Astyanax mexicanus: one gene and its partners. The protein of the gene in region 1 interacts with the protein of each later gene in a pairwise test. Links are inferred from orthologs where the notes say so. Each region holds a gene or a part of one and is shown on either strand. Other genes may lie near its edges. The genes, in order: bag3, litaf and fam189a2.

Evidence for each region.
Region 2: the proteins of bag3 (region 1) and litaf interact in binary tests that used the Homo sapiens proteins (3 or more experiments, as listed by UniProt). The two-hybrid records come from large-scale screens. The link is inferred for Astyanax mexicanus from reciprocal best matches to the Homo sapiens genes BAG3 and LITAF.
Region 3: the proteins of bag3 (region 1) and fam189a2 interact in a two-hybrid assay, tested with the Homo sapiens proteins (2 studies listed by BioGRID and IntAct). The link is inferred for Astyanax mexicanus from reciprocal best matches to the Homo sapiens genes BAG3 and ENTREP1.

What each region holds. Positions count from the first base shown.
Region 1 is NC_064414.1:37,722,505-37,733,728, forward strand, and holds the start of bag3 (BAG family molecular chaperone regulator 3), read right to left. Parts: upstream 4,285-11,224; 5' UTR 4,262-4,284; coding exon 4,070-4,261; intron 1-4,069. Other genes in the region: tial1 (nucleolysin TIAR), read left to right, coding at 6,694-6,722, 8,658-8,754, 8,940-9,038, 9,148-9,202, 9,355-9,442, 10,730-10,805, 11,154-11,224. UniProt on the Homo sapiens protein: Co-chaperone and adapter protein that connects different classes of molecular chaperones including heat shock proteins 70 (HSP70s), e.g. HSPA1A/HSP70 or HSPA8/HSC70, and small heat shock proteins (sHSPs), e.g. HSPB8.
Region 2 is NC_064410.1:58,134,754-58,145,599, forward strand, and holds the start of litaf (lipopolysaccharide-induced tumor necrosis factor-alpha factor homolog), read left to right. Parts: upstream 1-6,491; 5' UTR 6,492-6,614; intron 6,615-8,231; 5' UTR 8,232-8,371; intron 8,372-9,378; 5' UTR 9,379-9,386; coding exon 9,387-9,612; intron 9,613-10,826; coding exon 10,827-10,846. Other genes in the region: snn (stannin), read right to left, coding at 3,840-4,103.
Region 3 is NC_064429.1:24,061,252-24,072,205, reverse strand, and holds the start of fam189a2 (protein FAM189A2), read right to left. Parts: upstream 5,217-10,954; 5' UTR 4,936-5,216; coding exon 4,627-4,935; intron 2,213-4,626; coding exon 2,156-2,212; intron 1-2,155. Other genes in the region: coiled-coil domain-containing protein 158, read left to right, coding at 7,966-8,062, 8,266-8,320, 8,722-8,858, 8,954-9,138, 9,692-9,801, 9,880-10,198. UniProt on the Homo sapiens protein: Functions as an activator of the E3 ubiquitin protein ligase ITCH in the ubiquitination of the CXCL12-activated CXCR4 receptor. Thereby, triggers CXCR4 endocytosis and desensitization, negatively regulating the CXCL12/CXCR4 signaling pathway.

The DNA of each region.
Region 1 (11,224 bases):
TAGTAATTTAGCCCTACATAGAAATATAATGCTCTGTTCTTGAGAAACAATTATTTTAAGGGTTTAATGCCTCTAAAATTACTTTACAAGAAATTGCAAGTAATAGTTATTAATATGCTGTCAATACTGACTTATGAAAAAAAAATATTGTGGTGTGGAAGAAGAAGGAGGACTCATGAGACTCATTGCAAGTACTCAACAGCTGTTTATTAACGGGCTTGCCACTCCCTTATAGCCTTTAACAAGGCTAGGAGAGCGAAACCCAATAGCCAACACAGCACAAACAACCCTGACGCCACCAACCCAGCTATCCAGCACAGAGATGGTAGGTCCCCTTAACCCACCCAAAACATACCCCCATAATGCCCCGCTGGCCCCGGATTACCATGACCCGCCCCCACAGGCACACTACAAGCTGGCACACACAAACACACACAGACGCCACAATATTTTGATTCATGGCAGAGTTTTTGTGAAAGCAAAACTGACCCTATATAAAGCGTTTTTACATAATATCGAAAATATAAATCGTTATGGTCACACAACAAATGTGTCTCCAAAAATGGAAACTTTACAGAAGAAGGAACAAATCTTTTAACAGAAATAAACAAAGAATTTTTTTTTTTACATTTCTGTAGCATTTCTATTGTGGAAAAAGTAACATTTGATTTACATTGTGTCAAAAAAATGTTCTGCTTGACAGTAGCAATAAAACAATTCAATGTATTCATGTCAACATCAAAGCCAATATTTCTAATATTAATATTCTAATATATTTCAAATCTAATATTTCTTTAGATTTTACATATCTTAACCACAAATTCCGCAGAAATATAGAAATTATGCCATCTGTTGCGTTATCTTTACGAGACAACCTATATATTGCGCTTTAAAAGCTGCATTTTATGGCCATTTTAAATCAGCATTCTGTGAGCACTGGTATTTCTTACTCCTGGGCTCCACCTACAGTCGGGATGTGCAATTTGCATTTTGAGACACCCTTCAATAATCTAACAGGCATTCCTGTACTTTAAAAGCATACAGAACCGTTAAAGAAGAAACATGAGGGCTTAGAAGGTAGAGTAATATTACAGTGAGTATTAACACAAATATTACACTTTTCGCCAATGTTTTGCTGCCTGCCTAAGTTAGCTTAGCAGCAGCTTGTTTAACCCAGAGTAGCAGCAATATAGATGCTGTGCCCACTGTTACAAATCAATGAAGCACTAAACTAGGTGTAAAGCTGGTTTAAATTATTTTAAGGTAAACCCCTACTGACAAATGGTATAAAAGTATACATTTTATTGCGTATTATTCGCAGCAGTAGCAGTAACAGTAGGCTAAAGCAGAACCTTTACGGGGCTGATGGGTCTTTAGCAGAATATCTCTTACAAATCAACAAGCAATTTTAATCATTGAGTAAAAAAGTCATCCCTCATTGTTTTTCGTATTTAACAAATTTAAATCTGAAGTCAGATCAAATAAATTTTACCCTGAAAAGATATGCCTGTTCCCCTTTGGTGGTGTGTCACAATACCAAAATAACATTTAGTCACTCTAATCACTGTATTAACAAAACTGACCCACTATATAGAATACTATAAATTTTCATATTTTTGAAATCCTGTACACTATGACAAATATACTGCTGCTTTAATCCATAGAAGACTCTACACTCTAATGCTTTCTTCACTGTTTTCATTTTTTTTCTTGGCCCTACTTTATCCTTTATTATTAATGAACTTTGCATTTTAATGTATGAGAAGAGAGATGATAAAATGTTTGACTATAATTTAATTACAAAACAGGCTGACTGTCCAAAATTAAATGTAAAAAACAAGCATAAATAATAAGCACAAGCCTGTTTTTTCCTGTAAGATGTGAGAGTGCTCCGTTGGTATGTGCAGGATAATTAGATGTTGTGAAATACCTACACACAATGTCAAAAGTATCACCTCGCTGATGACCGTAAGGAAAACAAGTATCGTTTCATCACAGGCAGAATATTCCATTGATTTTCCATGATTCAAACTATTATTTAAGGACATACTATCGAAGAACAGAGGTGGAGTAAATTGTAAATTGCAATAATTTAATTTAAGTAAGTATTGCATTAAAGTTTCTAAGATTTATGGTGCAGTGTTATGTCTTACAAGCTGTTAGCCTTTTAATTTCAGTTTCGGGTTGTTGTAAAGTTGTAAATATTTATGGTTACAGTGTGCTTTATGATCTTTGCAAATTGTGCTAAAGTAAAGCCATGTGAAAGTAGTGTGGTATAAATCAAGTATGAAATTTCCCAGTGTGGTCAACAAATTTAGAGCTAAACTCAACTTATGTACAGTAATCTGTTTTAACAATGGGGTGAGGGCTGAGCAAAGAGCACATTCACAGTATAAATCATTTTACATGCAACTATAGGCTGTTCAACAGCTATACAGAAGTTATACAGGCTACTGTACATATATTACATGACTCATGTTATGTGTTTCTATGTGTGCGTATGTGTGTGCATGTGTGTATGTTGAATGGGTTGCTGTTTAGTTGACACTGGAGCTTAAAATACACTTTGTGAGGGGGTGGGCGTCACTAAGCAGATCTATGATGAGAAAGAAAAGGCCTCCCTTACTCATCAGTGTGAATCAGAGGTATGGGCCCCAGACAATCTCTCATCCCACACAGGGAGGGACAGCAATCAAAACAAAAATTTTGATATTGTGGTGGTGCTGGTGGTGGAGGTGGTCAGGTCTTTAAACCTGGTCGGTCCACACAATAAGGCTTATATTTGGTTTAGCTTTGGTTTAACCTAAAATTAGGATACATTTACAAGTAGTTGTATATAGTATAGCATGTAGTTTGGTGAGAAAACTGAAGAAAGAAAATGCTTTAAAGTGAATGAAGTAGGTGAATGACCTTGTGTCCTCTGCCTTTTTGGCATGGACGTGTGGACACCGAGACGGCCTTGTGCTCATTTTATCTCCTGGCAGCTGTGTCTTTCCAGCAGATTCTTGGTGACACTAACTTTGGCCAACAGCAACGTGTTGATCTTTCTAATGAGAGATACCAACTGGCGAGCCCTACAGTCTGCACCCTATAGTGAGTGATTCAACCTAACAGCTTAGAAGAATTTCCAGCTTATAATGTGAAGTAAAGTAAAGTAGGACTTTTCTCCTTTTATTTAATTTTTTTTGACGAAATTGAACAACTGAATCACCATGATTCTGCCTTTCCAAGTATCGACCCATTCATTGGTCATCACCGACGCGCTCAGAGAGAGGGTGGATCCGTCTCAAATCCCATGTAAGGGAAACTTTAGAGGACAGACATGATAGCGCGCAGTTCCAGCGGCGATATTCCCGAACAAACGCAGTGTGTGTGTGCGCGTGTGTTTGTGCGTGTGTGTGTGTGTGGAGCTTCAGCCTCTTTAAAAATAACCATTATGGAGACTCTGAAACACTCCGAGTCTTAAGGCTTGGCTACATGCAACTGCAGTGCGTCACACGCACTAAAAGCAGGCTGGCCGGCTTAGATCATAACACTAAAATATTATACACAGCGTGATAGCTGGTAGCTACAAAGAATATATGAGGCGCTATTTCAGGAATGTGGCCTGATGTCATTCAACTAGCCAACTAACCAAGGTAATAATCAACTAATAATTCCGCTCAGCTCAGAACCTTTAGAAGTATCTCCAGCAGCCTATACGACGTATCTCCACTGGCTATTTAAAAGTCTCTCTATAGGCTTTTTTATTATAATGTATGTAGCGGAATGTAGACATCAACGCAGTCTATAATAATGTAGCCAGTTAAATCAGATCACCCACACAAAGTTATGCTAAAAAACTATTCACGCCTACGTCCACCACCAGTCCACTAGAGCAAATAGCAAATAAACAGCTAGCTAAAGACCAAAGCCTCCCCCCCTCCAGCCCACCGGAGACCACCTGTCAGCCACATTATTTGACACTCCGCAAAAAAGCAAAGCAGAGAAGCGACAGGGACGTGAGAGCGCAACTTCTTCCATGGCAGTTCTGCGACTGCGCCACGACGGCTCTCTCCGCAGATCCTACCTTCTTAGAGTCATGTCTCGGGTCGTTCCACGTCGTTACGCGGTTGTTGTGATCCACAAAGAACGGCCAGCCGGTCTGAGGGTCAATCTTGATCTCCCATCCTGGCGGCAGGGGGTCATTCGTAGCCATCGCTTCCACAGGAGACAGTGTTTTCATGCTCTGCTGTAGTCTCGCTCTTGAATATTGTGCCATGACAGCGCACACGGATCCTTTAAAGGACCGATGTGATGACGTACGGCTGACTGGGGGTGGGTTTCTCGAAGCAGCTGGTGGGCTGCTGAGAAAGTTCTAGTGGGCTGAACACAGCTGAGTCTTGGAGGCTTGACCTACCCCTTTAGAATGGATACGTCTATAAGCTTCTGCTTATGTAAAAAAAAATAATAATATTTGATTAGAATATTATTAAATAATTTTGAATGACAAAAAATCCTTAATATTAAATAATTTAGAGACAATGCTGAAGAATCTAAAGAAAATAGAACCTTATGTGAAAATTTAAAATATTAAAATATTTTGAGATGTATAGAAACAAAAGATGTTTGAAGGGCAGGGACAAAAAAACATACGGGAAGGACAGAAGGGCACTCCTCAGCATTTAGAGTCTTATGCTATCAAAATTAAGATTAGATTTTCTAGACATTTCTAGAACATACAGTGTCAACTTTTGCCTATAATCCTGGTATATCAAATGCAAGCAACTGACTAACAGCAAGTGACTAATAGCAATTATTCAGACCACACCACAGCTATATCAAGCCTACAATGCAAAAAAATGACAGGCAGCATGATACACTTATCATTCTGGTCATTTTATGGTTAACAGGTTGATATACTGTGTATGAAAAAAGTGCAGCAGTACAGCATGAACTATACTGCCACCATGTTTGTTCAGTGCAGGGGTCATCTTTTCCTGTCCTGGAAAGTTAGTCCAGTTTAATGATTGCCCGTAACATCCCTTTTTCCACACTGATCTGATACAATCCGTCTGTTTTCAACATGGTGGACAAAGTACACAAACCATGTACTTGAGGTAAAGTAGAGGTGTACATATGCTATGTACATAATGTTAATTGTCAAATCTAGGGAAATCACTAAATGTGTTGGACATCAGAAAAATGAGACTATGTTCCATGTTCTTATGCATTTGCTGAGGTATTTTATTAGTTTCAACTAGCATGTAATTCCTGATCATAGACTACATTAAAGCAAGCCAATGTGGGATTAATCTCTCAGTAAATCAAGTTCCCCACATGTTCTAAAAAGGGTGCAGGAATCTGCATATTTGTATAATGCTACGTGGGAATGATTAGAGACATTTTGCATTAAGAAGTTATTGATTTGCATTAATACATTTTCCTATGCTCAAACTCATCTGCAATGACCACTGAAAATTAAATTATAGAGCAAGAGAAGAGGAATTTGGAATAAAATCACTTCAAAATACAATCACTAATAGATGTCCTTAAGCAAATTATTACCATTTTAATTTTCATCACATAGCCCACACAATGACCTATGCCTAGAGTAGTTGTAGTAATAGTTGTAAATGTTTATTGTTGCACAATTAGTTTACACATATATCCAAAACTTTGTAATTTTCTGCATATCAAATATTGGTACTAGTGGCACATGGCTACATACTGGAGAATCATTCCCTATAGCTGAATATATATTTTTATATATTTTTCTGTTTTCTGTTTTTGTGTGTGTATATATATATATATATATATATATATATATATATATATATATATATATATATATATATATATATATATATATATATAAGCACCCTAACCATACTAATTAAATAATAAAAAAAAATAATAGAAAAACAAAAACATTTTTGCTGGTTCCATTAGGATATCTTACTGTGAAGCCTCATACACAAACACATAGAGCTCTGGAAAAAATGAGAGAAAACTTATTTTTTAAATCAGTTTCTCTGATTTTGCTATTTATAGGTCTCTGTTTGAGTAAAATGAGCATTGTTGTTTTATTCTATAAACTACTAACAATATTTCTCTCAAATTCCAAATAAAAATATTGTCATTTAGAGCATTTATTTGCAGAAAATGAGAAATGGCTGAAATAACAAAAAGATGCAAAACTTACAAACCTCAAATAATGCAATAATAAAGTTCTTATTAATTAAGTTTTAAGAGTTCAGAATATTTGGTGAAATAATCATCCGTTTTAATCACAGTTTTCATGCATCTTGTCAAGTTCTTCTCCACTAATCTTACAAAATGCTTTAGGATAACTTTATGCCACTCCTGGAGCAAAAATTCAAGCAAAAATTCAATTAAATTAAAAACAAATCATAATTTTTAGGTGTTCCCCCCCCCAAACTGTATATATGTCTACACACATACTGCGCTGTGTTGAGGCTACGCTCTACTTGCTATTGTGGGCTTGAACGCGCTCGCACTCGCTCAACAGTGCTCAACCCCGTGATGCTGCGCGCATGCGCGTTGGCTGGATTCCTAGCTGGCCGGGTTTCGCCATTTTCTACACAATAAAGAAAGTAACTAGCTTAAATCGGTCTGGCGTTCTTTTAACCAAAATAACAGGGCACAGGAGCCGTTGAGAGGTTACACGAAGACTTAGCACGACATCCGAGAATGGAAGACGACTGCCACCCAAAAACCCTGTGAGTACTTTAGAGCGGGATAGTTGTCTATACGTTTAGACTGGAGTGTTCTAAACCACAGTCGTTCACTTAACGGGAGCGTAACCTGTTCTGGGGTCTTTTTTCTCCTCTCAGACAGAGATGTGCGCTCAGGGACAGGGCTAGAACTGTTTAAACTCTGTGAAAATCATAGTGTGCAGAGTTGTCAGTGAGTTGTGTTGTCTGCCTGATGTGTGAACTGCTGCTCACCTCTGTTTGCTAGCTCGTTGCTTGCTAGCTAACAACGGTTGCTAGCTAGCTTAGCCAGTTTATCTATGGGTAATATAAGTAGCTAGCGTTAGCTGCATAGATAGTTAGCTTGTGAGCGGGGCTAGCAGCTAGCTAGCCGCCGTTAGCCGTCCAAGTTAAAGTAAGTTAACGTTATATGAGTAGCTATGTGAAACAAAATTGAGTTATATAAAGGGCTGTATGTGGTGTCATAGCTACATGTCTACCGTTACATAATTAACCAACTCCACAAGCAGAATTTTATAATTTATTATGGACTCGTATCCAATGAAATAGACTAGTAATTTAACTTAGCTTAGCAAATAATTTCAAAGGGATAGCTAAAGTAGCTAGCTAGCTTTAGCTGCCTAGCAGTAGCCGCTTGTTTAACGTTAGCTATTGTCTGACACACAGCCGCTCACTGCTGGATTTCAGAGGCCTAATAACAGACTACAGTGCCGTGCACCCTTTACACGAACGGTTATTGTTCTTCTAGACATTTTCCCGACGAAATGCCAACTTTGTTCTGTTATTTGTTGTCATTGTTTTAGTGTTCTGATCTATTTATAGAAACGGCTACAACTGTTGGCAGCCCGTCTGTAAGCTACAGAAATGCCCTCTCCGGCATTTTTAAACGGAAAACAATGTGACTGTCAGACAGCTAGCCTTAGGTTTACTAACATCGGGTTTTTATCCTATATTTTTCTGCCTTTTGGCGTGGCACTGTTATTTATTAGCTTTTTCAGAAAAGTTTTCTTCTTAAGAGTAACGTTATTGGTGGCAAACTAGTTAGCTAGCTAGCTTAATAAAGAAAGAGACACGCTAGCCTTTCTTTCCTTTGTCATTTTCGCTCATCTGGAACAATAAGGGCAATGTGGCAAGCCGTTTCTGACACCAGCGAACTGACAGTTTTTACCAATAAAAATAAAGAGATTTAAAAGCTCTTTGTATTTCGCTTAAATATACTGGACTTTTTTAACGTTCATTTTTTGCATTTTAGTGTGGTTTGTTGTAAGGTGAAGAAATCTGCTGTTGAGAAAAAAAACTGTAATTTACGTTTTTGTTTTCCAGTAGAAACTCACATTTCAGATATTAGTAAAATATTTACCTGATCTATGACATTATCAACGTTCTAGCATTTTTACAAGTAAACACTCCAATTACAGACATCTAGAATTACTTTTTTTCACCAGGATACCAGAATAATTTCAGTTATTTACACATCTCTATAAAAAAAAGACCTGGTCCATAATTAACTTTTCAAGTTGTACAAATATAGAATTTGTCAGAATTACATTATAGATATCTGAAATTACAGTATCTACCAGTGGAGAAAATAATTATAGATTTCTGTTATAGAAGTGCACATATAGATAAGGCTTTTGATAAATTAAATGATTGGATATGACTTGTATGAGTAGTCATACTTTGATCTAGGGTATGTCTTCCTGGTAAAATGAATAGTAAGAATGTCTTTATAGATCTGATTTTACTAATACAAAATCACAGCTGATCTCTGAAATGAGCTTCCACTAGTAAAAAAGTGCATTACAGAGATTTAAAAATGGTTTGCCATAAAGGCAAGCTTCATTGAGATTTTTGCTGAATTGATTAAACTAATAAGCTTTATTCTCACTTCTCATTCTGAGCATTGTGATATGCTGGATGTCTGTGTTTTCTGTTTTTCAGTTACGTGGGGAACCTCTCTAGGGATGTCACAGAGAACTTGATACTCCAGTTGTTCACCCAGATTGGCCCCTGTAAAAGTTGTAAAATGATAACAGAGGTAAGAATGGGATATAGCCCTGATTGAAAGACTCATTTTTAACTAAAGTTTAGGTTTCCTACAAAGTCTTTGCCTGTTAAATGAAGTCTAAGAAAATGTTTTGCTTTTTTCAAGTCCTATTGTGCTAATCATGCTATTTTGTAATGTCAGAACAGTGACACTCTGTTGGACCTTCTTTTCTGCAGCACACAAGCAATGACCCATATTGCTTTGTGGAGTTCTTTGAACACAGGGATGCCGCAGCTGCCCTAGCCGCAATGAACGGAAGAAAGATTCTTGGAAAGGTACTTTGTTTTGCCATGTCAATTGTTTAAGATGTTTTTTCCCTCTTAGTGATTTGCTTTATATGAAAACTCTTCTGTTTAACCTTAAAAACGATTTTTTTATGTGCAGGAAGTCAAAGTAAATTGGGCAACAACTCCAAGCAGTCAGAAGAAAGACACATCCAGTAAGATTTGTTTCTTTTTAAACACTTTGTATAAACAATGTTTTTGTACTAATTATATATTTCACATACAGCAACAAAGGGTCCCTATTTGATTCTGTATTTAACCTTTTAAAAAGTTCTTGCAATTAATATGTTTTTCCTCCTCCTTCCAGATCATTTCCATGTTTTTGTTGGAGATTTGAGTCCTGAGATCACCACTGACGATATCAGAGCTGCATTTGCCCCCTTTGGGAAAATTTCGTAAGTTTGCAGATGTTATGTTTTTCTGCAAATGATGATTTGTTCTTTTCTTTGAATAATAAACAGCTAGAGAGGTTTGTATGAGTGGATATTTGATGGAAACAAGGAAATGTTTTTGCATTAATGTGTAGTTGTGATGTATGAAATACCATGACCTAGGATAACACTGTCTATTAATCAGGACAGATAGTTACAAACACAGCAAAGGAAATATTGATTCTAAGTAAATATTTCACATAGATATGACACATTTAGTCATAAAACACGGGTTTTTTAGTAAAACGTGGTTAGTGCCAGAAGCAAGGTGTGTCCTAGAATAGAATATCTGGATCATTAAACATTCCTGTTTGAAGAAATGGTGAGTGGATTTAATTTTTTTTCATTTTAAATCAGTTCAATATATGGAATTTAAAATTGTCAATGTAAATCTGAATCTTTCAGATTCTTTTTTTCCCCCCTAGCTGTGAGTGTCAGTTAATAGCACTCTGGTTATTTTACAGAAATGCTCATAGGATTGGACAGGAGCTTGAAGGCTAACAGCAAGGAACTGTGCACACTGGGAACTCAGATGTAGATTTTTTTCTATTCACTCTTTACTTTTCATACTTGTACTGCAGTATTTTTATATTAACCCTGAAGTAGAGTAGTTTTTAACAGTCCTTCAAAACGTCTTGTAAAATGTTTCATGTTTCATTATGGTTTGCCTAGTTTTGTTGATAGTTTGATTTTCTTAAAATTCTGAAAATGTCAATTTTTCAAAATTTGCAGCTTCCCAAACTCCACAATGGTGGTAAAGAATTGACCAGGAAAAATAAAGAAATCTGTTAACAGGCCATGTATGCCGTTTAATTCCTTTTTTTCTCTTTTGATATTTCTATATATCTCTGCTGGTAGGATTAGAGACAACAGCAGAAATTAGGAATGCATGGTAAACAAATTGATTTATTTTTGTGTTTTTTTTTTAAGTATATTTATTCTTAGTGGTATGAAAGTGTAAGACCTAGTATGTAACACTAGGATCAGTATGCAGTGAAAACCAGGATTAAGCAAGAGCTTTTAAAAACTGACAGTAGTGTAGGTTGCATGAACATGTGTGTGTATATATATTTTTGATAGCTCATTAATAGTTAAAAGATGTAGAGAACTGCTAGTGTAATGACTTCAATGAATCATTTAGGTTACTGTAAAATGTTTTACAGTAATGTTTGTGTGTGTGTTTTTTCTTTACTTTACAGTGCTGCCAGGATATAAGTAAACTGACTATTATGGTTTACCGTGTTCTTTCAGGGATGCTCGTGTGGTGAAGGATATGACAACAGGGAAATCAAAGGGGTATGGATTTGTGTCCTTCTATAACAAACTGGTAAGGCTCCAGCTCAGGAACACAAAGTGAAGGTTATTTCTATTTCTGTTTACTATTACATTTTTATGACTTTTAATTCTATTTAGATGTAAATGGAAGTTGTTTTAATTTAATTACCATAGCAAGAACTAATCAAAAGTTCAGCCTGTCTGTTTGGTTCATTGAGGTTTTTAGTTTTATTCTATTACCAAGGCTTTCCAAGGTACAACCTCATTACTACATTGAAGGAAAGGAAATTGAAAGACTAGCTTTATATCCAGTGAATTTGGTTGGCTTTGTTTTTGTTGATGTGCTAGAAAGTAATTATTTTTTCTTCCCCCCCCCCTTTTAATGTTTATTCATTTCTAGGATGCGGAGAATGCGATAGTGCACATGGGCGGTCAGTGGTTGGGTGGACGGCAAATCCGGACCAACTGGGC
Region 2 (10,846 bases), on another chromosome or scaffold:
TGATCATAAAACATAAGCATTGATGGGTCCAAAGTTGAATGCAGCATTAACATACTGTACCCTCACATAGGCCTGTCACGATAACAACAAATTATCGATTTATTGTACAATATACGGACACAAGTTCAATTAATTTACTTATCGAGAAAAACCTATTACCTTGAATGAGCCCTAATTATTTCTGGGACAATGTAAATGTATGCATACAATGTATGAATATTCCAGTTAAGTGTTATATAAAATAAATATATAAATGTATTAAAAGGGACATATTATATCCCTTTTACATAAGTTAAAATAGGTCTATGGGCCACACAAAACATGTTCAAGAAGTTCTTCGCACAAAATCACTCTCACATAAAGAGCGATCACAGCTCTATTTTTGCCAGTTTCAGTGCCTTTCAGAATGAGCTGTTTAGTGCTCTGTCACTTTTATGCAAATAAGCTGTTGCTGGCCAGACCCCATGTTTATGCTAATCATTTACCACACATTAGTGTTTGCTTTGGTTAAATAGCAAAACACAAATAAGCTCAAGAAGCACAAAGTAGCAGTTACAAGCAGTAACTTGCCATTAACAGTAGGTACAGATCCCTCCTTCAAAAGAAGTCTGCTGGCTAATCCCCGAAGTGGCTCTGATTGGGGTTGACAGGTGAAGGGTGGTGCCAGGGTGCTTCGTTGTTATGTCACAATAAGGGAGCATCCAAAATCCACCTTATAGGCGCATATTCCTGACACCTAACTCTTTCAGCTTATTCACAGAAAACTGATGGATGAAAACTTGGTATTTGGAGTGTTTACAAGGGCTGGCGAGACCCAAGTGGAAATACAAAAACATGCAAAAAAAAAAAAAGAGTTTTGCATAATATGTCCCCTTTAATATGCTATTTTAGAATATTTATTATTATATTGTATTATCTGATGAAACTGGTCTTAACATAACAGTAATATCGTTTATCGCAATCATTTCTGGAAACAATAGATTGTCTATGAATTGGTTATTGTGACAGGCCTAGTCTCACATGTGATCTGTGTACTGGTTTTCTAATGGAAAATAAAGTGCACCAAAAAATCCTCAAGTTTACACAATTACAACAGCAGTCTTAGAAAGGCATACACTGACAGTATGCTAGGCTAGGCCTGTAGACATCATATTTATATATTATATGCGCTACAGTACATTAATATCAGTACAACAACGGTGGAAAAAGGTGATTATTTGGGCATTATCAGAATTCTTTCTGCCCGTTAAAACCCAGCGTCTGAACACAAGACTCAAGATCAATGAATTCTACAAATGTTGTTCGCATGAATTTCATATAAAAATAAATGATTTTCTCCCACGTGTACAAACAGCTAATGATCAAACAAAACACATACACTTTAATGCCTCAGTCGTTTTCTTCAGTGTGATCAATGTATAGAAATAAAGGTCTATAAAAATAATATTTACACACCTTCCAACTCACATCCAACACCTTCATACAGAAACAAAGTGCTCAGCCACCATTAAAACACCTCTGGATTCTCTCCAGTCATTGGCTCTGCTTTATGGCGGTTTCTTAGCAGTGCAGAATCGGTATATATGTATATAAATCACATAAAAATGGAATTCACTGATTTATTAAAACGTCTTCATGATTCAGTAATTAAGAGGTAAACTAAGACATTCAGAGTGGTTTGTGAAATTAATCACTATAGAAATTAGGGGAGAGACAAAACATTAATCAATATTTGGCCATATGTCATATACTATTCCTTTTCTTTGCAATATATTAGCAATATGTGGCATCAACTATCATCAAAATATTTATTAAAACAAAGGAGGTCTTAAGTCTCTAAGTCTCGCCCCTGAGTCTTACTTACTAAAGTTACTGCTTCATTACTCCACATGGTGGCACTAATCTAATAAACAGGGTAAACCTGCGGTGAAGAATATAGGTTGTTAAACCAATGTTTGTATATACTGTGACATATATTAAGTGCTTGATTTTAAAAATGCATTAATGCATATATGCATTATTGGCATTGTCACACATTATAGGACCCACGTAGCTAAAGAAACAGGGCGATCACTTCTCTGTTTGCATCAATATAACCTACAGCACTGTCCACTGTTGGTGGTAATTCCTTAGATATGACATAATAACTGGTACACACAGTATGTTACACTGTGGATTGAGGAATGTTAAATACCTGTACAATTTCTTATTATTATCACAAAATTTAAATACATTTTCACAGCCAAAATGCATCAGTAGTGATATCTTTAAAAAACGCTGTTCAAATACCGTTACTTTCGTATACTGAGTACAGTGACTTTTATTTGAAAATAAACTGTAATTCCTCCAATTAAACTAGACTAATAATCTTTCTTTAATGAAATGTACAGCACTGGTATCTTTGATATCCTTTCATGGGTATATTGTCAATACAATAAATCACAAATATTGTCAATACAATAAATACAATCACCTGTATAATATTTAAAAAATTAGCTACTGCATCTACCTCATCTGTTTTCATTTGATACATATATATTGCTGCACTAAAAGGTAGTAATTCTCATTTGTGAAAGTTGGGTTTAATGTCACTTTGAAATAAAGTAAAAAAGTAAGCAATTATATAATTTTGTCATATTTTTCGAAGAATAACTAAACACATACTTAAATGTGGTATATCATGATATATATATATTATATATACAGCATATATAGTATTATGAACAATGATTCACACAGGCAAAAAGTTAAAAGCATCAACAAAATCAATTTCTATTATTTTCTATGATAATTTCACACTGTCCACTCTGAATGACTGTTCAGACATCAATCACTAAATTATGTAGAAATTTTAAGTTGATCAGTTGAATAAATCTCTAAAACCTAAACCCATACATCATCATAACCCTGACCTGTGATTAAATGAATTTTGTAAGATGCACATAAAAGTTACTTGATGGCATGTCAGTATTAGAATTACTCATCAAAACTCTGATTTCGGGTATTCTCACACTAGGTGGTCTGTCCTGTGTTTGAGCTTGTCTCCCCCAAAAAGTCTGGTTAGTTTAACTAGCGTAAACGCTCTGTAACAAAATTCTGTGCAATCTTGACAAGAAACGCAAAACCAAAAATGTACTTTGTGATGATGTAAGCATACTAAATCCTGGAGTGGGAGAAAAGGCAGGGATGATCATTAGGTTTAGGTACGGTACCAGTAAACCAGGCCTAGTGTGAGAACACCCTTTAAGATAATTACTGCTATTGACTATTATACAGTCATTACGCTTCCTGTGTAAAAAAAAAAAGCATGTCAGATGTGCATCTATTCTTCCCTTGTTTAAAGTGACTTAATAAATCCAGTAACAGACTGCAGTTATTCCTCCTTTTCAGTGCACACCAGAGCCAGCTCTGGCAGAAACATGAATTATTTTAAAATACTACAAACAGAAAATGTGTTTTTTTTTCTGCATTTTGGACAAATATGTGACCTTTAAACATTAAGGGAGTGATTTGAACAGATGAATAAAGGTCAGCTCTTCTATAAAAATGCAGGGAGCTCCTCAGTTTCACATTATAACAGGGTTCCACTGGACAAACACTAATAGGAAAATGTCCAAACAAGGGTGAGTTAGAAGCAGCTAGACAAATGCATGCACTGGTCATGTTTGGTGTGTGTGTGTGTGTGTACATGTGTGTGAGACAACCTGAAGCCACATCCGGTCTTAAAAGAGAAATGATCATGATCTTAAGTGCTGAAAGTCCTTGTTCTAAATACAAGGATCGACCGAATCGGACCCCTGTGGACCCTCACACAGAACATCTGCCCTGTAACAGGGGAATTAGCTGTGGCTCTCGGTACCGTTAGGGGTCAGCTTGGTCTTATGCTCGACCCGTGGGCCTCGGGCTGAGTACTGGACCATCAGAAACGGCTCCTTGGTCTCTCCCTCTCCGACGATGCTCTCCTCGTCCTCGGATTGGCCGATACGCTGCAGGCGAAGGTAGCACCAGCAGCCGAAGATCAGCGCCCCCAGAGCGGCGATGGCTATGAGGATCACGATGATGGTCACCACGCCGGTGGTGGGGCTGTGGTCCATTATAGACATGCTTGTTGTGGAGGAGAAGTCGTTCCTGGTGTTAATAAATCAATCTGGGAGGCTGGCCAGCGTGGTTTTGTTGGCCTACAGGTCTTTGGATATCTGATTCAGAAAGAAAAGAGAAACATGGAAAGGTTATAATGAGTATCAGCTTTTTCCTCAATACCAAGGGTCTTTTCACATAGTTTATTATTATTAATAGTTTATTATTCCAATATGTATTAATAAATATTATTTATTAGTAAAAAAAAAAAATTCTCATCTTATCAATAACTTTATTATTTCCCTTCTTCACCTGTCAGACCTCTTCTACTTTTCACTGCTAAAACTGAGACTTAGTCCAATCATGTTAAGCTAAAGAGCTAAAGGCTAAAGCTGTTTCCATGTGGGTCAGCCAGACGTCTTCCTGTAGCAGTTTTCTCCAGTTTCCAAGAGTCTTTTAAAGGTGTAAGAAACACTACTCATCGCTCTCTGGCTTTTACAATCTACTATATATATAAAATATATATTTACAGCGAATCAGTAATAGCCCTGACAATTTACGGTACAAGTTTGTACACTGAATTTTGTCCCATTTCCGGTTACTGACTAAACCTGGACCATTGTGAGCATGTGTGCAATACCAAACAATTCCTGAGATTTGTATACTTTTAATTTAACTTTAATTAGGTTCTAATTCAGAAATCCTTACAGCCAGGTTGAGATGATTACAGTAAAGTAAAAAAAAAAAAAGTTTACTCAATTTAATTTATCATGAATTCTCTATTCCAGCACCCTACGTTGGCTTTATCTCCATTCAAACATACAAATATATACTAGTATTTTTGTTGACACCACTAATATAAATATAATTACATTTTGCATTTCCAACATTCAGTCTTTTATTAACATTTAAATATCCACTATAAAAACTTGCATCTTAAAAACAACAAGTGTGATTAATCACAGTTAATCACAGAATACTGTTGTGATTAATCTGAAAACATTTTTTAATCGATTGACACCACTAATATATATATATAATATAGGGCTGCAACTAATGCTTATTTTGGTAGTCGACTTTACTGGCAATTATTTTTCCCATTAGTCGATTAGTCAACGAACATTTCTGCCATACCCTCCATCTCTGCTTGATGGCTGGGTATGGCTGCTGTTTCTAATTTTCTTCGTCTTCGTCTTAAATGTCTTTGCTTCAGCTAAACAAAGAATTTAAATGCCCTTCATATGTCCAGAACATTGCCCTTAAAATGTGGAAAGTGCTGATATTTAGTGAGGAAATGTGTACTCTGTTGCGTTTAGGCATGTTTAGTACTTTGTGTAGTGCTGCAAATTAACGATTAGGTCAAGGAACATTTGGTGTTGACAAATTTTTATAATCGACATTGTTGGTTATATCAACTAATCGTTGCAGCCCTAATAAAGAAGAGCTTAAAAAGAGCTCTTTGACCTGAAGAGCTTAAATAAATTAGGGGTAGTGTTGTAGTTTATGTTATATTTTTAGTTCTTATATAATAACTAAAAACAGTTTTTATGTGCCGAAATAGCAAAAACACTAACTAGCTGATATAAAGCCTGAGTTAGGCCAGAGTCAGAAATCAGAGTCAGACACACACACAGCTTCTGATCTGAGAAACAGGAACCTCCTTCTGCGCGGGATTCTCGTCAACTTTAACACCAAGAATCAGCGCAAGATTTAGAGCACACACTGCAGATTATCTGTATTACAAACATATTTAATTTATCCCTTCATAAACTCTCTATTTCTCACCATGATCCGCTGCAGCTCCGCCGCTTCATTCCCGTTACCGAGCGGATCAGTCCTCCGGACCGCCCCCCGCCATGTCCCCGGCCCTGATTAATCCAGTTTAATCCGGTTTAAAACACTAAATACAGTAAATATGGCGATAATAAAGACGAATCAGAGTTAAACCCGCTGCAGCAGCGACATCATAACACAATATATAACCCAGCAGAGCAGGAACGCTGGGAGACTGACTGTCACAGGGAAGGAAGTGAGATCACAGCTGCAAAACTGAGCTCAACCAATCAGAGCAGCGGAAACGGCAGCTGCATAGAAACGGGGCAAAGCTTTATTTACCACCAGCAGCCATCCAAATAATAAAAATAAAATACAATACATAAATAACATATACATAAGATAATACATAAGATAATAAAATGTAAAAAAAATTAATGTAAATGCTATTAAAGGGGATCGAAACCCCCTGATTTTTGCTGAGTGGGGTAGTTTGGGGGAGTCACTGGATGATGTATAGGTTTAGGGGCGGGGCATGAAGGAGAGCTGATTGGCTGAGCTGGGGGAAGAGAGATACAGAAAGAGAGAGAAAGATGGAGAGAGAGGGGAGAGAGAGAGAGAGAGAGAGAGAGAGAGAGAGAGAGAGAGAGAGATGGGGATGAAGAGGGAGAGGAAAAATCACAATGTAACCAGAAATCACCAGGTGATAAAAAATATGTTAAAGAGTAGAGCAGGGAGTTCAGGAGGAGCAAGAGCAGAAATGAGTAAGTAAAAGTCAGTGCTTTTTTTGCTAATTGTGTTGCTATTAAATAATGACTGGAATATAAAACTGTTATAAAATAACTAATCAAACATTAATGTTACAGTATTGTTAATGACTTAAAGATAAATACCAATACTTATAATAAATAATAAAATTGGTCGTACACTAGTTGTTTTGCTATTTGCTACAAACATGTGACAGACATATATTTTGGGCTAGTTTAAGTTTTTGAAGAGCGGGTTTAAGACTGACTTTGGGCTGGATTTTTTTTTTGAACCTGGCAACCCTGCACATCATCTACGCCTATAGCACAGTTAATCCATAGAGGGCGCTGCAGAGGCGGAAAATACCACAAAATGGGTTTTATTAAAGAGGCACTAAACCCCCTGATTTTTGCTGACTCCACCCTCAAAATAAGTCTAAACAATAAGAGGGGTAGTTTGGGAGGGGCACTTGATGATGTATGGGTTTGGAGGCGGGGCAGGAGGGAGAGCAGTGAAATGCAGATGGTTGAACATCAGCAGGTGGGTGGTATTATTGATTGTGTGATCTCCGTATTGTGATTTGTCTGCGTTCCAAAGTACACGGACACATCATCCTCGTCTATAGCACAGTTAAACCTAGAGAGCGCTGCAGAGGTGGAAATTTCCACACTAAAAGGGTTTTATAAAAGGGGCACTAGACACCCCTGATTTTTGCTGACTCCACCCTCAAAACAACTCAAATTTGAAAAAGTAAAAAAAATAGGAGTGGTAGTTTGTGAGGGGAAATGGGTGATGTATGGGTTAAGGATCATATTCTATGTCCTCTGAAAAATAATAACTTAGTTTCAATTTATGTAATAATGAGTAAAGTAGATGTTGTGGACTTTCATTTCTGTTACCCAAAACATAAAAATTAACAGAAGTGAGTTCCAGCAACATGAATGAGTGCCGGTAATAGGAGTGATTGTTTTGTCATAAATATCAATTATTTAAACATGCAGTCAACCATTTCTTTACAATAAAGACTTTCTCATAGAAAATCAAAGGAATTAGTGGACTTTTTTTTTTAATGTCACGTGAGTTTTGTAACAATCTTCGGCTTAGAAACCTTGTAAAAAGTTAAGTAAAGCTGCCTGAGTTTGACCAGTACATGTTTTGAATAGTTAAATATGTGTTATTAGATTCAGAGTTGAAAAAAGATAAAAAAAAAAAAGTTTTATTTGAAAGAGTTACAACAATCATGTGCCCTCAGTGCATTTATTAGAACTGTGTTTTATAAATGTATAATAATCACAACTCTAACAATCCTTACCCAATTTTTTACAAGGTTTGGTTTGTTACAAACAGCAGATGTAGCAATGATACAGGAAACTGTTATACATTACAAATAGATGCTTTCATACTAAAATATTTTGTAATATGCTGTTATGCTCTTTAACAAAAACAGACATATGGTATGGCATATAAATTGTGTATAAATTAGTTCATTTTATATTTATATGTACATACATACACATACATATACATATAAAATTAATTCATTTACACACTTGAAGTTTCACGTTCCACAGAGTTTATGTTAATAATTCACTTCTGATGTTGATCCGGGTCTTTTTCTGGTGTTTTGTTTACAGTGTGAGTGAAGGGCGGGAGCTCCTCCAGACTGAGCCCATGTGACTGAAGGCGGAACTGGAGAAACGCTGTGAAAACAGACGGAGATGAAAAACTAGAGAAATATACTTTAATTCCCTCATCTGAAGCTCTTCTACACAGCGTGAGTCTGAGACACTGCTGAGATCTTATACACTGTCTGATTACTGAGCTGATAGACGGGGGGATGAGGGGTAAAGGGGGGAGTTTGTTTTTGGGCTGAAGGCTGAAGTTGTGCTGAAAGAGGAAATATGGCGACTTTGTGATGAAACGTGTAAAAGTGGCTGAACACTTTCACTTTAATAGAGCATTTTATTCTAACTGCTATGGTTAAAATATGGTATATGTGAGATAGACTGTTAGTAAGTACAGGTGGGCAGTACCTATATGTGTATACACATATATATATATATATATATATATATATATATATATATATATATATATATATATATATATGTATACATATATACATATATATACATATATATATATATATATATATATATATATATATATATATATATATATATTGTCAATCGATTAAAAACATTATCAGATTAATCTGAACAATTCTCTGTGATTAATCACACTTGTTCTTCTTAAGACATGAGATATTTATATTAGTGGTGTCAGTTAAAATACTAGTATGTATTTGTATGTTTGAGGGGCGAAAAAAAAAAACAATTGGATGGAGGAAACTATTTTTTTTTCTTTATTGTTATCTATATGTCTGAACCCAGACCTGCTCCAGAGCATTACAATATATGTACAGGTGTATATATATTTGTATACATTTACAGGACACAAAAAATACATTACTCTTTTTTGAGATGCAGATAAAAGGCTTTAGCACTAATAGTACTACAGCAAAACAATTTGCTGAAATCCATTCTCCTATCAGAACTAAACATGGTATTTTAAAATAAAACATGTGAATGGGTGATATGCACAACATGTACACAGAAAAGCAGCAGACTGTTTATTATAGTAATAAAACTCCATCTTTACGATACATATCATGATAGTAAATGTCATATGGTGAATTTGTGATAAAACATGTGAATGTGGCTGAGCATTTGTACTGATCCTCACCCTGCTGCTGCTGCTGCTTCTTCTTTTCCTCCACAGCTCCAGGGATGGCCAGCGCTCCTCCTATGGAGATCATGGGTCCGACGGGACAGGCAGCTCCCTGCCCACCGACTTATGAAGAGTCTGTGAACGCAGGAACGCCGTTCCCCCCCGGGGCTCATATGCCCCCTCCGCCTGTCTACAGCAAGGCCCCCCAACCCCCCTACCCAGCCCAGGGCTACACCCAGATGTACTCACCTCCACCTCCTCCCACTGGACCTGGAGCTCCTGTGGGTGAGTAGGAGCATGGTGTTTCTCTAGAGTTTGGAGACTGAGCCTAATTCAATTAGGAGATACTATGTGTGTGTGTGTGTATGTGCTGCAGCATTACATCATTGCTACATCATAAATATAAATTATAAATGTTAGATGATCTACACTGTCACTAGGTTTGATGAAGAATATACTACTTGCATTACTTAAGTAAAAAAAAGGTTGAATACTTAATATTTAATTTAAATGAGAACTCTAGTGTAAAATGGACTTTTGTTGTAGTAAATCATGATGAAAAGTACTTACCTTTGATGAATAGCACACCTCCGTTCTCCCACAGCGTTCAGAGATACAGAAATTTGAACAGTTTGTCCAAACACCCTTCAGACTGGATGACACGTGGCATAATTTGCCCCGATAAATCGCTTTTTCCACAGTTATCCAGCTCAAAGTAGCTCCACACCTCCCTGCTAGAATCCGGAGAGCCCTGCCATTTAAAATGAGGCATTAATAACTTAAAAAGTACGCAAGAAGCTTATTAAAAACACTGTTCACATCCCATAACGCTAGCTTCAGCTCCGTGTGCCACCATCACTGTACTGATAATGACATAGACAAATACATAGACATAGCAGCCAGCACCAGGAGGCAGGCTATGTGGATTCCATGTATATATATATGTCTGTCATTATCAGTACATGACAGACATATATACATAGATCCCTTAATATTTGACTGTGGAGCTAAAACAACACATCAACTTCTGCTCAAGTTTCTTTTTTTCTGGAACACTTGAACTTTTACTAAACTTTTAATTCTGTCTCTCTAGTACTTTATATACACACAATTACATGCCTTATTGGATAAAGCAACTACAGTACACATGGTTGACTCTGTAACAAATTGTGCCTCTCCCTGATCTCTTCAAAGGGTTATTGTCTGCCAGTAACTAAAACCCTAAAAATAAAACCACAACCTGTGTGACAGAAAGAATGGCTGAGGTTTTACTTCCTGAAACAGAGAACTTTCACTATAATACAGAATTTCCATCTAACTGCTGTGGTTAAAAGCTGGTATATGTAAGATAAACTGTAAAAGTATAGTTGTGCAGAACGTTTTATCATATATGTATTGAACATATACACACATACATATACACTGTCTTAGTATTAAAAAAACACACCATCATGTTTATCCAATCAGAACATGTGTTTTTGTTTGTTTTTTCTTCTCAGTGACTGTGCAGACCGTATAT
Region 3 (10,954 bases), on another chromosome or scaffold:
AAACAGTTTATGGTACGTTTGTATGCATTTTAGTATTACTAAAATTCTCAGTGTGTTTTACAGTGAAATTACAATTACACATACACAACCTGTATAGATTGTACTACAGCAACTGTGAATATTAAATAATATATATCTTAATGTTAGATGTTAAATTTTTTTGGTTGCCAAATATTTGGTTTATGTCTGCATTAAATTAATTTGTGAAAAAAAGCTAGACAATTTGCAAAATTGTTTACAAAATTGGCACAAATTGAATGACAAGGTTTTGTTTTAATGGCAACGATATGCTACATATCTACCCAAATTTTCACAGATAATATATTGCTCCAAAAACAACTGCAATAAAAATTAGAGAATAAATAATTTTTAACGACTTATAATTTGGGAAATGTAATTATGTATTTTGGCTTCAGTATATTTTTTATATGCTTTTTTGAGGTCAGTTCCATATATTACACGATACGTCAATGACATCAGATTAATTAATCAGGCCAACTCATCTGTGTTATGTCTTTTTTTTTTTTACATTTAAGAAATGCTAATTTTAGTGTCTTCTGGTGAAAATAATTTACTGATATTTTGTATATATTGCAATGTAATGCAATAAACAACTAATGCAATGTAATTCTTTTCCAATATCCTGTTGCCCTACACAAAGGAAAAATAACATGCAGACACATAAATGCACAGCAGATTTTGATTCCACAGTTAGAGACTAAACGGACAGCTTGAGGCTAGATTAATGAGGTCTAAATTGAAGGCTCGTTGTTCATAGAGCCGGTGTGTGTGAGGTCGGTGGAGGGTCACTTCCGTCTCTAATAACCCATCACAGGGGGACAGGATAAGGAAAAGGGCTGCAAACAGAAATCCATGATAAGGAGATAAAAGTGCTGTCCTTGGACCGGCTTAGATGATACATTATCTTTATTAGCACTAATTTAAACTAACTGCATGTTTACTGATCATTGATCCTTAGAGATGGTAGCCATTTCCTGTAAAACCGGAGGAACACAAACAGTTTCCTACCAGCTTTATTTTAAACTGAGCTACAGACAGAAGTATGTATTTCTGTTACAACATGTGACTGTGTGTGTGTCAGTGAGCGTGGGTTTGTGAATCACTGACAATGAGTACAACTTCTTGCTAGTAGTTTACACCCTAACAAATAAAAATACCACAGAGCTGTTTTGAGTTGTATAATATACAATAATAGAGGAGTGCACTTCCTAAAGGAAACAGCTGAACAAGAGGAAAGAGGCATGAAAAACGACAAACAGATGTGTATGGGTCAGTGTGGATGTGGATTAGAGCTTGGGGACCTGCCCTGAAGGAGTACAAGCAGTTTGGTGGCTGCCAGACAAATGAAAATCAAAGCCTCTGAATGGAGGAGATTTGGGAGGAACAAAGGATGAAAAATTATAAATAGGTGAGTGCAGGTCAGTACAGCTGTGGATAAGAACTTGTGGACCTTTGCTGAAAGAAGACAATTCACATTTTGGGCAGTATGACTGTGGATTAGATCTTACAGATCGCACAGTTTGGTGGTTGTTGGGCAAAAAAAAACTAAGGCTTGAGTCTAAAAATGAATAGGGGTGAATTGGAGGAACAAGGGGTGAAAATAACACAATAAATAAACAATATGGGTCAAATGGACTGAATTTATTCGTGGGGTCTTGCCTTGTTTTTAAAATGGGTGGTATCAGTTGAGAATATATACTATAGATATGCTGTCGATTCTTATTTAGAATTTTGGACTAATTTCTTTATTTTGAAGCTGCAGAGCAAAACTAAATAAGTAAACATTCCACACAAAGGTCCAATCCCATTAACCCCTTTCCCTTGGAAGAGAGTAACAAGTGGAAGGGGTGAAATCTTGCCCCTAAAAATGGGACCACCCTTTTAAGTACCCAATACAAATATATAGCAGTGAAGCGCTAAAGTTCAGCAACCTAGCTGCTGGTTAACTCCTAGGCATGCATGCACAAACCAAAAGATTAAGAGTAAGTGGTAGGGCCAAGGGGTGAAATGGGATTACACTTAACATACATTATTTTTCCACTGGACTGTTTGTGGGAATTAAATTTTTCTATGTACCATCCCTTTAAGCGTGAATATCAACCAGAGTCAGAAACTGAAGCAGTGAGACACGTACCAGCAGGAGCATTGGCCGCTTCCATGTTGTGAGACCGATAATCCCCGAGAGGATGACCTGCAGAGAACAGAATCAGCTAATTCAGCAAATACGCCATGGAGCAGACAGATTAACTTTGCAATGTAGCTGCAGCAGATGCGTAAGGTATTACCATATGGCCACCAACACTTTTACATCCTGCTCTTTGTTTCTTAGCTCTGATGGTCTCATGTATTTTTGTCCATGGAAAACCCCATTTTACTCATTTCAAACCATCTAAATGCTTTTTTTTTTTACCTCAGCATCTTTGAATGCTACTTTCTGTTAATAATTTAGAGATGCTTCTCTAATATGTGGCTACACAATTCCTGGATTTCCTCAGTAATCCTTCATTATCCTCTAATTGTTTCAGTAAAAAATGATGAATAATGTATGACAAGAGTGGAAGAAAACAACTTGGGGTGAGTTCAAATTGCGTACTAATATTGAGTTTTGTGTAGGTCACTCTTGTGCCACCACAACCGATCTGACCATTCTGTCAGGCACTGACTGCACATTAGCTCTGAAGGCATCATGTGGTATCTGGCACCAACATGTTACCAGCAGCAGATCCATTAAGCTCTGTATGTTGTGAGTTTGGGCCTGAACAGATTGCATCAATGAGCTGCCCCTTAAGGTGCCCCTTAACCTGTTGCCAGTTCACAGGTTGTCCTTTTTTGGACCACATTGCAGAAAAAAACCCACAACCACCTGATGTTTAAGAGATGCTCTAAGCCCATAGTTGTCTAGCCGTCATAGTTACGCTATTGTCAAAGCGGGTCAAATCCTGATTTTTGTCCATGTTTTGTGTTTTTAACATCACCTTCAAAAATGACTGTTCACTTGCTGCATAATATGTTAAATCCCACTGAAGACCAAGATAATCAATATATTTTTTTGCTGCGGCTGTCAGTGGTTCTTATGTAATAGCTAATCGATACATAGCTACATAGTTGAGCGTAATTGATTGGCCAAGACATGTTTGGTACCTGAAGTTTGCTTCGTTAGTTTGGACTTGAACTTATGATAAGTATTACTTTTGTAAAATATAGCTATTATACATTTTTACTATAGTTAGTAGTTTAGTATAGTTTCAAAGCTTTAGCAAAAAAAAACAATTTTAGACACCAAACACATCTGATCAACCTCATCCGAGATGAGAGAAATTGTACACTACAGGCCAGTGTGTTTGTATAAGAGAAATCTTTAGCAATACATGGGCCAAAAGTTTGGACACACCTTCTCATTGTTTTTTGTGCAGATTAATATTTGGTTAATATTGAAGAAATATACTATGAAGAAATACATATGGACTTTACACACTTCAGGTAACCACTTCAAGATTGTTAGAAAAATATTCACAGTGACTTATGAAGCTGAACAAGAGAAAAAAATGACCCAGACTGTTTAAAGCTGTCATTAAAGCAAATCAGGACTGATGTGAAGAATCGAATAAAAAAATATTCTGGTTTAACACTGTTTCTATGAAAAAATATTATTTATTAAGTAGTTTCATCGTTTTCAATATGAACTGCAATGTAGAAAATAAAAGGAAAAAACATCAAATGAGAAGGTGTTTGTCTAAATATGTCAGTACTTAAGGAAACAATACTACAACACACCAAAAACTATAAACACTGACTCGCTACTGTATCACCACATTATAAACACATCACAGGTCATCCGCTCATCTCAGTGTTTGTATTTGAGATAAATATGGCCAAAGCTTGAGGTCACTGAAAGTAATTGCAGGTAACAGAATTGTGGTCATATACTGTTCATTATATCCTTGCTGGGGGTAAAATGGTTTGTCAGATTAGGTCTTCAGTACACTTTTTTTGTTTGGGTTTGATGGTTTATCTGGTTCTATAAGAAGGACCAACCTGACCAACAAGACCAAGCTGGACTAACATGACCAAACTCAAAAGCAACATAGACAATACTGGGAGTAGTTAGTCAACAAGCTGGGTTATAACTTTTCTATCTGTGACCAAAATTGAAGTTCACATAAACATAATGTGGCTTTGAAGCAGTATACCAAATCCATCATTTTTTTTATTTGGTAACCAGCTATTCAAGCACATTGCCCCTGAAAGACCATCAAAACCAGCTACTAGCAAAAGCTGGTATTGGGGTGGATTTTTCAGCAGGGAAATCCTATTAACTCAATCAAACACTAATTAATTAGCTAATCAAGTATAAGCTAAAGCTTACCTGTGGTGTTCACAACAACAGCTTTACACTACCACTACTATAAATCATACTCAAAAACAACCAAAGAAAACTGGAACATGCAGGTAAACCTATATAATGTAAACATGACAGACTGAAAATCTTATAGGAAGCAGCTTGTTTACATTTTTTATAAACACGACGGAACACAAAGCAAACACTGCAGGACACGTATTTAATAACTAAAAATGAAGCTAAATCTCAGACACTGAGGTACTCACTGAAGATCCTGCCCAAAACGGGCACGAATTCCGGATGGGAGGCGAGTTACTGAGGGACAGAGCCCCAAAGGACAGCGCTACCATGGAGCAGCCGAGGACCAGCTGCAGCAGCCCGAGCGAGAGCAGCGGTCGAGCGGGCAGCAGCGCGGGGGAGAGCCGCGCCTGGGAGCCGGACATTCGCCACCGAGCGGCGGCCGAGCAGCAGCGGCTGCGGCCTCTGGAAGACGGCGAGGGCTCTCCGAAGTGAGGGGCTAGAGAAGCCCGGGCTAAGCGACAGCAGGAACCGGGCAGGACTACCGGCAGAGACATTGGAGAAGAGCGGCCAGGAGAGGAGCAGCAGTGACCGGGGAGCGGAGGCGGCTCGGGTCCCTCATTTTACTCCGAATGGGTTCAGCTGAAACCGGCGGGAGGAGCTGCTGGATCCCCTCAGCGCTCCGTCCATGATCCTCTCGAGGTGGAGAGAAAGAAACAGAGAACACGAGGGTCTAAAATAACTCCTGGCGCCCGGATTGCGTTTCACATAGTTGGCAAAGAGACAAGAGAAGAAGAGGAGGAGGAGGAGGAGGAGGAGTGTGTGGGAATAGACCACCCTGCACTGAGAGAGAGAGAGAGAGAGAGAGAGAGAGAGAGAACAAGAGTGTGTGAGAGAAATATAGGGAGAAAAAGAAAGAAAGCGAGAGAACAAGAGAAAAGGAGAGAGAATTGGAGAGATAACAAAAGAGAAAAAGAGAAAGAATAAGAGAGACAGAAAGCGAGATAACAAGAAAAAAGATTAAAGGAGAAAAAGAGAGATGTGTATGACAGAGAAAAAAAGAACAAGAGAAAGAAAGAGAGAAAGAACAAGAGAGAACAAGAGTGTGAATGGGAGAAAGAGAAAGAAAGCAAGAGAACAAAAGGAAAAGAGAACAGGAGAAAAAAAGAAAGAACAAGAGAAAGAGTGTGTGACAAAGAGAACAAGAGAAAAGGAGAGAGAAAAAGAGAAAAAAGAAAAAAGAGAGTGTGTGTGTGAGAGCAAAAGAGAAAGAACAAGAGAGTACAAGAGTGTGTGAGGGAGAAAGAGAAAGAAAGCAAGAGAACAAGAAAAAGAGAATGAGAGAACAAGAGTGTGTGAAAACAAGAGGGAGAAAAAAAGGAAATGAGAAAAACAGTAGAAAAAGAGAAAGAACAGGACTAAAGGGAAAGAACAAGAGTTAGAAAAAAGAAGATAGAGAACAAGTGACTGTGACAGAGAGAGATAGAGAACAAGAGAGAGAAAGAAAAAGAGGGAGAACAAGAGAGAAAGAAAAAAGAAAGGGAGAGAGTGGGAGTGAAGAAAGATGATTTTGCTGATTCTTTTTTATTTAAACCAAACAGCAGTCATGCTCTCATCTTAGAGTGCATTATAATAAATCAATCATTTCTTAAAATAAGATGACCACAAACAGATTTTAATAAATCAAACCAATAAAAAAAGCAAAGCTCCTTCTCCTTCACACTGCCTTGTCCCAGCACCACACAGACGTGAAAGCTTCTAAAATCATGCTGAAGGTTAAAAGCTTCTAAATCATGCCACAGATTTAAAAGCTTTTAAACATATGCTACATACTTAAAGGTGTCTTACCATGCCGCTTATTTAAAAGCTTCTAGATCATCGAATCATCAAATAGCCATTAAAAGCTACTTAAAAATGCCCTTAAAAGTAATTTCCTGTAAAAGAATCAAAATGAAAAAAAAATAATAGAACGAATCCCCATTCAAATTAATTGAATCGCCATTTAAAAGGATCGCACATAGACTGTATATAAAGATGGACGCCGTGTCGCCGTTCCCATTCATTCAATGAAAATGAAGCCAAAATCTTCCGCCATTTTGGCGATTCAGAGACCAGAGTCTGCGCAGTAGAGACCAGAGGAGGGAGAAAGGCTGTGGAGAGACCGCCTACTCTTTTAAATAACCCCGCCCCTGAGGGCTGCCTCGCGGTCACAGACTGCAGAGCGGGACGGAGCGGAGCTGACGGTCTGTTATTGGTCCCGTCCATAAGCAGCCCTTTTACCATAACCACACCTTTTTTTAATAGAGCCGAATAAAGTTTTAAAAACCGAATTCTGTGGGGATATAAAAATTTGACAATATAAGCAGAGGTTACACTAGCTGTTGCATTTAAATAATGGAGGTAGAATTACAGTATATTAGAAAAAAACGTGATTGAAAGTTGTCTGTTTTGCCATTGAAACCTATGGGGATGGGTGGAGTTACACAGCTTTCTGCAGCCGAACAGCAGGGGGCGCCCGACCTGTGGTGGCTTCACTTTTAAGAGACGATGCTCTGTCCAGCTATATACAGTCTATGGTATGGAGCGAATTAATAGTTTGGTTTAATGTTTATATTTTCTGTAGAAACTGGAAATATATGTTACGTTTTCTTTGCTTTTTTAAACAAAATACTTCATTCTACTTTCTAGAATTAGAGGAATATCCTGGAAAAGTATTTAGTTATATTTTTTAATTTAAGTTTTAGCTGTTTATCTCCATTGACCCCCATTCATTAAGGACTCACTAGTGGGCTCCATCTAGCGGTTTGAGCTCATTTTATGACAGTAACGGCAGGAATACCAGTAAGTGGCGGTCTCTCCATGAACCGGTGTTTTGTCGGGTTAAGATACCCATCGATACGTGCTTCCTAAGGCACTGCGCATGCGCTGACCTACACTTTTTGATGATTTAAACACTTTAAAAACAAAATTGTTTTGTTTTGTTTTAATAATAAATCTGTTATAACATGGACTCACTGTCATTACAAAAAAGTGTAAATGAAAATTAATAAGAATAAAAAAATACAATAATTAGTATAAAAAATACAAAAGCATTTTGTAATGTCCTCTCGTTGCCAAGGTACAGTAATTTATGCTTTCCAAATATACTAGCTAGCTACATCTACTGGGACTCTTACTGGAAACATGCTCTACTATGGTGTTTTTACAGTTAAATAAACACTAGGGCAGCACGGTTTGACAAGATAGCACAAATTGACGGAACACCGGCTCTGGTACAGTAGGATACCTGTTGCTAGAGCAACAGCGCGGCTTCCCTCATCCAGTTAAGCTGTAGGCTAACAAGCTAAGCTAAGCTAAGCTAAATTAGCTGCCTTGGCTCACAGAGAGGGGAAAAGTTATTGAACGGAGTTATTTTGCTAGTTAGCGAGGTTAGCTAAGCTAATTTAGTAAGTATGCATTTTGTTCGGCGCCCGGCAAATTAACGACTCGCCCAGCTCCGCTTTTCCATATTTACTATTTCGCCCGCTGTTTATTTTATCAGTGTTGAAGAGTGAACAATCACAGAATGCAGCCCGACTCTGCGAACAATGTTTACCGGTCAGAGTGAGAAGCGCCTCCGCCCGGAGGTCGAGCCCCGCCGTGAGAGAGCTGTGAGGGACCCGCTTCAGCCAGCTCTTCCCCCAGGTGAGTTCAACTCTAATATTCCCGCTGTTAGTCCGCATAAAGGCGGCAGGAAAACCCTTAAGGCTGTAAAAGTTTATCGTAGTTTGGTAGTAAGCTAGTATGTTAGCGATAGCGACAGTTAACTAGCTAGGTTAGTTAACTAGTTGGTTAAGCAGGCCAGACTTTACTAATCTAAGTCTAACAGTTCCTTAATCTTTTTTTAGGTTGTTTGGAAGAAGGCATGCCAGAAAGACCCAATATCAGCCTGGATGTTCTGAGGTATGAATAATTAATATTTGGGAGAGATCTGTCTATCAATTCACTCATTCACCTGTTCACCTATCCATTCAATTATCAATCTTTCCATCTCTCTGCCTGTCCCTCTATTCCATTCTCTATCCATCCACCTGTCTTTTTTGTCAGTCCATCCATCCACCCATTGATCTGTCTTTTTCTCTCCCTACCTGTCTCTCTGTTCGTCCGTCTGTCAATCCATCCCTCCATCCTTCCACCCACCTCCTTTTGGTCTGTCTGTCTTTTTTACCTTTTAAATCCATTTTGCTATGCCCACTAACTTGACAATCCTGGTGATGCCTCTGTTTCCAAGAAAAAGGTGGGTTGAAAAATAGTGATGTAAAAAACACTTTTTGTTCTAAACAAACTAATCACACTCTTCAAAGTGAGGAACTGGAGAAACAAACCAGGGAGACACAAAAGCTTCAAGAAGAAGTTGAACAAGCCACCAGACTGACTATGCAGAGGATGGGTCGGACATCTTTCAACACGGACTTGCCAGTAAACTACAGTTCAGCAACAAGTGAGAATATTACACTTTTTGATAATAGCCTGTTATCTGTATACTTTGAAGTCTACATGAAACTCAGTTACATGATTTTGGCTTCTGTCTTGCAGGTAGATCATCAGAAGCATCATCAGAACGTGGCATTTACAGACAACCGTGCGTCCTTCGACCTACTGCCGATCATTTGGATGTGAACACCGCAGGATGTTTGAACTTCCCAGGGAAAGATGTTCTTGAGCAGGCTGTAGAGGAGTACTCTCAGCAGGTCTCTGACCTTCAAAGGCAGATCAGAGAGGTCTGTATCTGGAGCAAGTTAGCAGCCTTTTTGAAGTGATATTTGTGTTTCATACTAGGGCTGCAGTGCACAGTCCACATAAAAATCAATGACATTCACAAATCTACAGATTGCAGTTGCAGTCATATTGCTTATGAAAACATTAATAATGACTGGTGGATTTGACAATATTTTATTATTATTGTTTTAATGCATTATTTTATGGCTTTTTCTGAGTAGCGATTCGACACTGAACAGGGTATTTCATTAAAAAGCTTAAATACTTGTTATAATACTTTAATTTAATGTAATTAGTGCCTTAGGGTATATTATATGTTTAATATTAATTAATACACTATTAGTTATATATATTATGTACAGTTTGTGCTATTGGTGTTATTTTGTATATTTTCTGTGTTATGGCTTTTTAAATGTCTGAGGGAAAAACATTGTATTATGTATGGTGCAACATAAAACTTGTGATTAGTATTTTTGCTATATCGATTAAAAATTAGGTCTATCAGGTGATTTGACCTTATACAGTGTCTTAATATTCCCTGTTAATTTCTTTCAGACATATGAGCTGCATGACCAGCAGAAGTATCATTACCGCCACACCATCATCCAGCTACAAACCAAACTGCACGAGAACCAGATTGAAAAAGATGCACTGGAAGACTTAAGGTAAGAGAAATCTAAACATAACCCTTGTGATCTAATTATGACTGAAGTGCAGTACGTCTGTACATTTTCTCCTTACAGAGAGAAGGAATCTACGAAGCAATTTGAGCTAACAGGACAGTTACAGGAGACTCTTCAGGAGTTGCACAAAGTCAAGCAGAAGCTGATGGAAGCTGAGGACAGAGCAGAGTGTTTTAGAAGACAAGCAGAGACCATGGAGCAGATGCTGCATGACGTGTTCATCAGACTCTCACAGTATGAGAAGCGCAGTGGAAAAAGGAGCTATCTCTGCTGTGACGGCCCCTTCAATCCTGACAAGCTTCCGCTAGGACCAGTCCTGGAGAAAGCACTACAACATATTGAAAATGAGAACTGTGGTCTCCAGGAGAAACTGCAGTCGGTATGTCACTTATGTCTAAATGCTTTTATATGTTAGAAATGTTACTTTGATAATATTTGATAATTGTGATAATTGTAAAATTGTCGATTATATTTTTGTATGTTTGGTCACATATGTAACAGTGAACAGTATTTTATTCAGCTAAGTGAACAAAACTGTAATTCTTAAAAAAATGAAAATTATTTATTAGGGAAAGTAAAGGGCTACCTTTATTTAGAGTTAGCTTAGATTTCCAGATTTTCAGTAAGTAGCAGCATTAGCATTAATGCAGCCAGACAGTGCTACATTGAGGAACCCTAAGTGTTCGTCCCACGTAGCACGTAACGTGGTAAATAAGCAGACTGCAGTCTGATATACTCATCTCTCTGAACGGTGAAAGAGCTAGCGCTTAGTGCGGTTAGCGGGTAATGCTAATACTGCTCAAGCAGTGCTAGCCGGGGTTAGCAGCAGTCTACAGGACGATAATACTCACTTTGGAACTGCAAAATAACTAGCGCTAGCACTTAGCGCAGATAGCGGGTAGCTCCAGCAGTGCTAGCCGAGGTTAGCAACCGATAATACTCGCCTCTGAATGACAAAAGAACTAACGCTACTAATGCTAATACAGCTCCAGTCTCTGTGCTGGAGAACTAAACTGGAACTCCTGTATAACTCTTCTGCACTTCAGCACAGTGGCTTAACTGTTCTGACTGTTAAAATTTATACATAAGGCATTTTGGATCATAAGGCGCACTGTCGATTCTAAAAAAAAATATA